2 separate regions of the Mus musculus genome follow, and region 2 is reported to be linked to region 1. Evidence: microRNA targets listed by miRTarBase, many of them from high-throughput screens and not tested one by one. Region 1 holds a microRNA gene; the other region holds the end of a gene's coding sequence.

Evidence for each region. The annotated mature microRNA mmu-miR-30e-5p reads UGUAAACAUCCUUGACUGGAAG and lies in region 1 at 1,216-1,237, opposite strand. An mRNA with a match to its seed (bases 2 to 7 or 8) in the 3' UTR can be bound and repressed. Matches are read on the target gene's strand: a 7mer-m8 pairs with bases 2 to 8, a 7mer-A1 pairs with bases 2 to 7 and ends in A, and an 8mer does both.
Region 2: miRTarBase lists Pnkd as a target of mmu-miR-30e-5p. Seed matches in the 3' UTR shown: 8mer at 1,891-1,898.

What each region holds. Positions count from the first base shown.
Region 1 is chr4:120,771,445-120,775,511 of GRCm38, forward strand. It overlaps Mir30e (microRNA 30e), which reads right to left and starts at 1,253; the gene lies at 1,162-1,253. It overlaps Nfyc (nuclear transcription factor-Y gamma), which reads right to left. Exons shown (of 10, transcript NM_008692.4): 5 at 2,228-2,323. It overlaps Mir30f (microRNA 30f), which reads left to right and starts at 1,162; the gene lies at 1,162-1,253.
Region 2 is chr1:74,351,658-74,355,724 of GRCm38, forward strand. It overlaps Pnkd (paroxysmal nonkinesiogenic dyskinesia), which reads left to right. Exons shown (of 10, transcript NM_001039509.1): 10 at 101-2,035. The coding sequence ends at 274. Among named protein-coding and RNA genes, the nearest start is that of Catip, 8.4 kb to the right of the region's middle.

The DNA of each region.
Region 1 (4,067 bases):
AGTGAACAAACAGTATCACAGCACAGGGTCATCACTACACTGATGAGCAGCCAGCTCCAGACTAGGGGAAAAAATACATTTGCTTTAGTGGCAGGGTGAACTGCTGCCTCCTTCAGAGGGTGTGTTTTGGAGAGTAGGCACTTTTAAAGGACTTTAGGAGGTGCCAGCCAATTTGGAGCTTGGGAAAACTTCATGTCTACAGAGAATTAAAAAATGCTATCTTAGAATTTCAGGCCAGCTTTCAGCAATCTCAACCTTTTAAATGCCAGGCAGCAGCTGTCCTGAATAGGATGCCAATCAATAGCTCAAACACCTACAAAGAACTAAAACCAGGCAGCTAAAGGAGTGTTCTTGCTGTATACCTTTTAAAGGGAGATGGACTAAGTATAGTGGTCCATGCCTTGAATCCCAGCACTCAGGAGGCAGAAGCAGATAGATCTCTCCGAGTTCCAGAACAACCTGGTCTACACAGTCTAGTCTAGCCAGGGATACACAGGGAGAGCCTATCTCAAAAATCCAAACCAAACCAAAGAACAAAAGAGGGAGATGGGGTAGACCACCAGCAAATCTAACACCCTGACAGACCCAGAAGAACAAACAACTTTGGAGGAAGGTATAGGTCAGCAGCTCTCAACCTGTGGGTTGTGACCCCTTTGTGGGATGGAAAGATCCTTTCACATGGATCACCTAAGACTACTGAAAAACAGATAGTTGCATTAAAATTCATAACAGTAGCAAATTACAGTTATGAAATAGCAATGAAAAAAATTTTATTGTTGGGAGGTTATTACAACATGAGGAACTGTATTAAATGGTGCAGCATTAGGAAGGCTGAGAACCACTGGTATAGGATAATAACTTTCTCTTTAGTCATCTATTCAGCAGGCAGCCCATAGTGAACAATCAGTACAATAAGAGCAATGCCTGACTGCATCACAGATCTTACCACCTTGTCTTTAAAGGAAACTCCTGGTGGATACATGGGAGCAAAAATCCAATAAGGAAAACAGGCTCATGGTATTATCAGCTCCAAACGAAGAGAGACAGTCTGAGTTCTTGTGACTTCTCAGAGAGAAAGGAAGTAACCCAAGAAAAGGAGACAAGTTCATGGGCACAAACCTGCAATGTCTCAAAGCCGATGAGCGCAGCCGGGGACGACTGTGGCAGCCTGCCGCTGTAAACATCCGACTGAAAGCTCCTCTCAACACCTTACAGCTTCCAGTCAAGGATGTTTACAGTAGCAAAGACTGCCCAGAAAAATAAAGAGCTTCAGTGAGGCACAACCTGCTCCCATAAGGAGGTGACCCAGGGCTTGCTAACCCAAAAACCCTCATGCAGGGTCAGAATTAATGTCAATTAGGATGCCCACTTCTCCAACAGGTTTTCTGACTGGTTATTTGTACAGGTCAACATGGGGAGAATGGTTGTCATTAAATGACTCTAAACAGTATACTACAAAATAATTAGTTAAAAACACTTATATTTTATGAACAAAAATAAAACAAGCAGGACATGGTATGGCTTTACTTCTCTGAGGCATATTACACTAAACCTAGTGAATCATGCAAACTGCGTGCCTGAAACAATGAGCTCTATAGGACTGGGGTCTATCACAATCACAACTAAGTTATATGCACCCAAGTGCTGAACAAAACAAATGGTGTGATCTTTGGAGATGAACAGGCAGAAGAAGGGCAGACACTTAGTTCTTGTAATTAAAAAGAAAAATGTAAATGGTGGTTCTAAAACTTCACTGGACACCAAAGCATCTAGGGAACTTTAATTATTGATTCCTGGGGTCATGGGGTCATAGGTTCTGACTCAGTGGATGATGGGTAGAGTCATCACACTACAGAGACACAGCATAGAGTAAGAAAATAAAAGCCACTGGCTCCAATCTGATCACTATGCACAAAGAGGTTGTTTCTTAGAATCTGAAAACTGACTGGCTGAAAAAGCTTTTATTTTAGATGAAGAAATCCTGAACTGAGCTTCACCCCACTATCTGTGACTAGTCTTTTTAACTTTGTTCTCTCACTGCAACCCCACCCCAGAGGCACTGAGTTAAAAGTACCCATAAATGAGTAGAAGGAGATGCTGAGGATGATCTGGACTACGGAAGAGAACCACAAACAAGAAATGCTTTGGGTGGGAGGGAGGGAGGAGCTCCGGAGAGCATCTTGCCCAGGCCCTGGAGGTGGCAGCTGAGCAAATCCTCCCAGCTCACCTGGCGCTTTGGAGGTTTCAGTTCATCTCTTGGAACAATATCGATGAGAAAGTCGAACTGATCAAATTTTGTAATTGCCATGGCAATATCATTCCTCTGTAACAAAGAAAAACAAAGTTAAAAACTGGCCTAGGAAGAATCTAGTTCTTTTGGCTGTTATCCTTCAAGTAAAAGGACATGATCCTCTCCTATCCCCTAGTCCCAGTGTCTGGGATTAAACCTAGAGCTTTACACAAGCTAGACAGGTATTCTACCATTGAGCTATGCCCCAGCCCAAGGAGATGACTTTTAGACTGTACTAAAAATCTCTAGGTTTGTCTAGAGCTAAAAATAAGAACAGCTCAATTTATATCAGACTTGCTGGACAGAAATCAACGAAAGAGATACACATATCTCGTGCTCTAGGCCAGGACATCTGAGCCCTACTCACCACTATTTCTGCTTGTTCTGGTTTCAAAGCTTCCATAAAGTTGTAAAACCACCATCCTCTGGCTAATTCAGGACAAAGCCAGCAGTCTCAACTGGCATTCTGTGGTCCACAAGGTCAGCCCATCATTCACTTGTATGATCTTTTTAAAGGCCCTAAGCACTGTTTGTTGTTGTTGTTGTTGTTTTTCTTTTTACAGGCACTTATAATCCAGTCGCTTGATTTTTATGTTACCTATGGGTTTTAGTTTAGAAATCAAAACTGCACTGCTTAATGAATAGTTTAATCCGAATTTGAGCCTGAATACTCAAGCCTGAATTTACTATAGGTAGGTAGTGAACACAGAGCTGAAAAGAATGTCACAAGTGGACTTTCTCTTCAAGTCTGATATTATTCCCCTTCCTTTGAATAATAAAAATCAACACTTTTTCTCCCATATGATTTGTGTACTTTATTGAAAGTTTTAAGGTTAAAAAAACAAAAACAAAACCACTAAGCTCAAGTGAGTGATATAGTTAAGTATATATGGGAAAGTAATTTTTGAAATGTATTTAAAAATAGATCACTTTATGGCTGAAGTGAGAGGTATGATAAATTTGTTTTTCTTACTTTATTTATTTATTCATTCATTCATTCATTCATTCATTCATTTCCCCCCTTCCCTTCTTCCTCTTGCTCCTGGGCCCCACTTGCTCCCGGGACCCACTCACTCCAGTCCATAGGTTTTTTTGTTGTTTTTGTTTTTTGTTTTTTAAAAGTATTATTATCTGTTTCTCATTATGGATGGTTGTGAGCCACCATGTGGTTGTTGGGATTTGAACTCAACATCCAGAAGAGCAGTCAGTGCTCTTAACTGCTGAGCCATCTCACCAGCCCAATTTGTTTGTTTTTCAAGACATGGTTTCTCTGTATAGCCCTGGTTAGTTATCCTGTGGCCTGCTAAAGTAAAACTTTAACAGCAGAATTTGGGGAAAAACTAAACAGGTACGTACTATAAATCCTTGACAATAGCATAACAAGGAAAAGCAAACAAACTCAAAAACTCCTCAGCAACCTCTCGATCCCACATCTGAAGCAAAGGGCCAAAAGGAGTCATGGAAATGTTCTGTTTTTTCCTTCCCTAGTATCTGTCATGGTCCCAAGCCACTGAAATGCAAATCTCCAATCCACCCTTCTTGCCAACTACCAACTTCATAATAAACCCTCCTAACGAAGAAGGGCATTATCTTACAGTCTGCCAGAACTCATCTAAGATGAACACACTAGTATAGCCTTCTTGATAATGACACCTATTCATGCTAACTAAACAGCTCCCTAAGAATGAAATGAAGGAAAAAAATAAAGTACCTCCAAACACACACAAAGGCAAACATTTCAATTCACTTAAATTGATCTTTTCTACCCTTCTTATAG
Region 2 (4,067 bases), not on the chromosome of region 1:
ACCTGGGGGATGGGCGGGGTGGGGTGGGATGGGGTAGGCAGACATCCCTGCATTTCCAGTTTCTATCCACCCACCCATCCCTGTGCCTCTTGCTCTGCAGTGCCCATCCACCCTGGGAGAGGAACGCGCCTACAACCCATTCCTGAGAACCCATTGCCTGGAACTACAGGAGGCTCTGGGGCCAGGGCCAGGCCCCACCAGTGATGACGGCTGCTCCCGGGCCCAGCTCCTGGAGGAGCTGCGCCGCCTGAAGGACATGCATAAAAGCAAGTGAATAATAACCCTCGCCCACCCCAATCCAGGGTCTCCCAGCAGAGGGGAGGCCACCCACCACCCACACTTCACCATCCTCTTCATCACTAATACCACCACCACCACCACCATTGGTGCCCTAGGCAGCACTAATCCTCCAGACTGGCCAGGGAGGGCAGAGCCCAGGCAATGGGACCTAGAGGAGGAAGCACTGGGAGGCTGAGACCCCACACAGTACAGGTGGTGTTTAGGGTAAGAGGAAGGAAGCAACTGAAACGTCTCCAGACTTTGCTACCTTGGAGGGTCTGCCTCCCCTCCCCCACTCATGGACCAATCGCCAGATCATGAAGGCTGCATTTGGCTCCTGCTCCAGAGGCCACACCACCACTAGAGCCCTAGAACCCAGGAGAAGAGAGTCCTGACCAGGCTAGTCTATCTTCCACCTTCCCCCATGCAGGGTTGTAGGGGAAGCTCACCCCAAAAATGATCTAACGTGTGGTGCCTGGGAAAGTGGTCATCAACCAGGGCAGCCAGACTCTGGGTGACTGAGACTCTAAGTCCCACCCTACCTACCTTGCTAAGACATTGCCAGGCAGAGCCATTCCTAAGAACACCTAAGGACTGGAAGCCTGGTTCTGGCCCATCCCTGCCTCAGTGGATGTCCTGAAGGCCAGAGAGAGAGGTTCCTGGTTGCCAAGGAATCTTCTGCTTCAGGCCAGGGAGTCAAAGGATGATGGCACACAGAGCCACACACCACGCACATCTGTTCTGGGTCTGCCATTGTCCCGGGTCATAAGGGCCTGCCTGCCTTCCCAGGGGAGAGTGAACTGTGGTCTGCCTCAGAGACCTGCTTCTCCTTTCCGCCCTTGTTCTTAGGAATTCCTGCCTGCCTGCTGTCTCACTTAACCTCTCTTGCTCTATCTTCACCCCCTTTCCTCTCTGAGTCATTAAAGGCTGACTTTCTTCCAGCCTGGTACTCATCCGGCTCTTTGCAGTTTGCCAAAAACCTTCATTCCCACGTCATTTCCCACTGGATCCCAGGGCCCTCTTGTTGTCAGTGTGCAGATAGCAGAGGTCTGGGAATAGGAAGCTCCAGTGAGTGGCAGCTTCCAGGACCTCAGGCCTGGCCATACCCCACTGCTCATCCCCCTCCAGATCTGCTTGTCCTCTGGTCTCAGGTCAAGGGCCCTTTGTGGCCACAGGAGCACTATGGTCGTTTTGCAAGCACACCTTAGGTGAGTTAGCCAGGAGCCACATCTTTCTGTGTCAGAGCCTTCCACTGGGCTGTGCAGTGCCCTCTGTTGTTCCTCTGAGATGCCCCTGCCTCAGTTTCCCCTCTCATTTGGCTTCGGCTGCCCTCTCCAGGCACAGCCTTTGGAACTCACTCTAGCAATACCACCGGACTAGTTAGCCTTCCCGGCCCCAAGACACTCGCAGTTTCATGCCTTTGTGCCTTTCGCTCATGCGGTTTCTTCAGCTGGAATGCCTTCCCGCTCCTGCCGCCTCCTCTGCCTGGCAAACACCTGTTAGCCTCTCCCAGGCCCCTCCCCCAGGAAGGCACCCTTCACCCCTCTCTTCCAGGCTACCTCTGCACCTGTAAATGCTTCTCTCGTGGCACCTATCACACCGTACTTTACTTGTTTACATGTTTGTCTCCCCTTCTAGACTGTGAATCCTTAAGGGCATGGACTGTATCTTATGCATCTCTGTATTTCTGCGCCTAGCACGGTGCCTGGCACACAGTAGGCGCTCAATAAATGTTGAATGAATGATTTAACCAAGGTCTGAGCTCTCAATGGCTTATCTATGCTGCCCATGGGTAACAACAGCAGAGAATCTGCTCACTGTTTCCTGACTCCATTCCGGGTCCCACAACTCAGGGTACTTCGTGGGAAAAGCTCTGGACAGGAAAGGCTCCAAGGGCACCAGAACAACCCAGAAAAAATGCCTCCACATGCTCCTTCCACAGCCCCTGTGCTTTGGGTTCAGAGTTTGCGATGTGTGTACCTGGGTCCTTATCCCAGCTTGAGACACACAGGATACCACTAGCCACAGACCAGCCAGGAAGAGCACTCAGTGGACACAACCTTGGCTCCAGCTTGTCTCTTCTGTTCTGTTCTGGTCTGGTCTGGTCTGGTCTGGTCTGGTCTGGTCTGGTTTGGTTCTGTTTTGTTTTTCGAGACAGGATTTCTCTGTGTAGCCCTGGCTGTCCTAGAACTTGCTCTGTAGACCAGGCTGGCCTCAAATTCAGAAATCCTCCTGCCTCTGCCTCCCAAGGTATGTACCATACCACCTTATTTTTCTCTTCTTTTTTCTTTTTTTTTTCTTTTTTGTTTTAATTTTTTATTAGATATTTTCTTTCTTGTGTTTTTTTATTAGATATTTTCTGTATTTACCTTTCAAATGTTATCCCCTTTCCTAGTTTCCCCTCAGAAAATCCCCTATTCCCTCCCCCCCTCCCCCTGCTCCCCTACCCACCCACTCCTGCTTCCTGGTCCTGGCATTCCCCTATACTGGGGTATATAACCTTCGCAGGACCTAGGGTCTCTCCTCCAGTTGTTGACCGACTTATCTTTCTCTTTTTTTCTTTTCTTTTCTTTTCTCTTCTTTTCTCTTCTCTTCTTTTCTTTTCTTTTCTTTTCTTTTCTTTTCTTTTCTTTTCTTTTCTTTTCTTTTGGCTGTAGCTGGTCTTAATGCCTGTGTAAAAATGAGCTGGAGTCCTGTCTATGCTTTGCTTGTGTCTCACTAAATCTATCTTTTTGTCCATCTTTGTTTTTGGTGAGCAAGACTGGTTTTTAGTTCATTAAGGTGATTGAAGATATTTCTTTCTTTCTTTTTTTAAAGATCTATTTATTATTTTATACCTAAGTACACTGTGGCTATCTTCAGACACACCATAAGAGAGCGTCAGATCCCATTACAGATGGTTGTGAGACACCATGTGGTTGCTGGGATTTGAACTCAGGACCTTTGAAAGAGCAGCCAGTGCTCTTAACCACTAAGCCATCTCTCCAGCCCTGATGTTTTTTAAAATAAGAGAGCAAGAAGTAAAGTGAGCCTCCCGCTGTGGCAGCAGCTCTACAGGTGGCCATGTGTGGGTGAAGGCACAATGGCACAGTGCAGCCCCGGGCCAGGCAAGCATGGCTTCCCCATCCTGGCAGAGATCCAGCTCCCTCTTGGACATGAGGGCAGACCACAGTGAAGAGTGGTCTGGCTCTCTGCTGTCTTAGTAGATGAGCCCCAGGCCCTGAACCACACAGCTCACTTTGGGCATGCTCAGTGTAGGAACTGTCATAGATAGTGGACATGTCCACAACCTTGGGGATGCTCCCACAGGACTATTCCATTTTGAATGACAGGTGATCTGTAGTTAGTGCTTCCCAAACAATCACATCATGAGGTTTTGCTTATAGGACAGGGAGTGCTATCAGCCTTAGACCCCTGGGGGGTCAGTCCCAGCTCTGTCCTGCTTGGCAGTATCCCAGGCAAGTAATTTCCCTGCCGTATATCTATGAGAGGCTATAATAAGAGGCATAGCATCTCCATGGCTTAGGTAGGCAACCTAAAACTAGGATTTTCTAAATCACATCGTGATGAGTCCAGACATGGGCAGGGCCAGAAGTTCAGAGCATCTTTGCTAGATGCAGATGCAGAAAGATTGCAGGTTTGAGGCCAGACTGGACTCAGACATCCCAAGAGCCTGTCTCATAGCAACAGCAGAACCAGTGTGGTGGCACACACTAGTAATCCTAGACTGAGGCAGGAAGGCAGGAGTCCAAGGCCAGCCTGGGCTACATGGAGGTATCTATGGACTA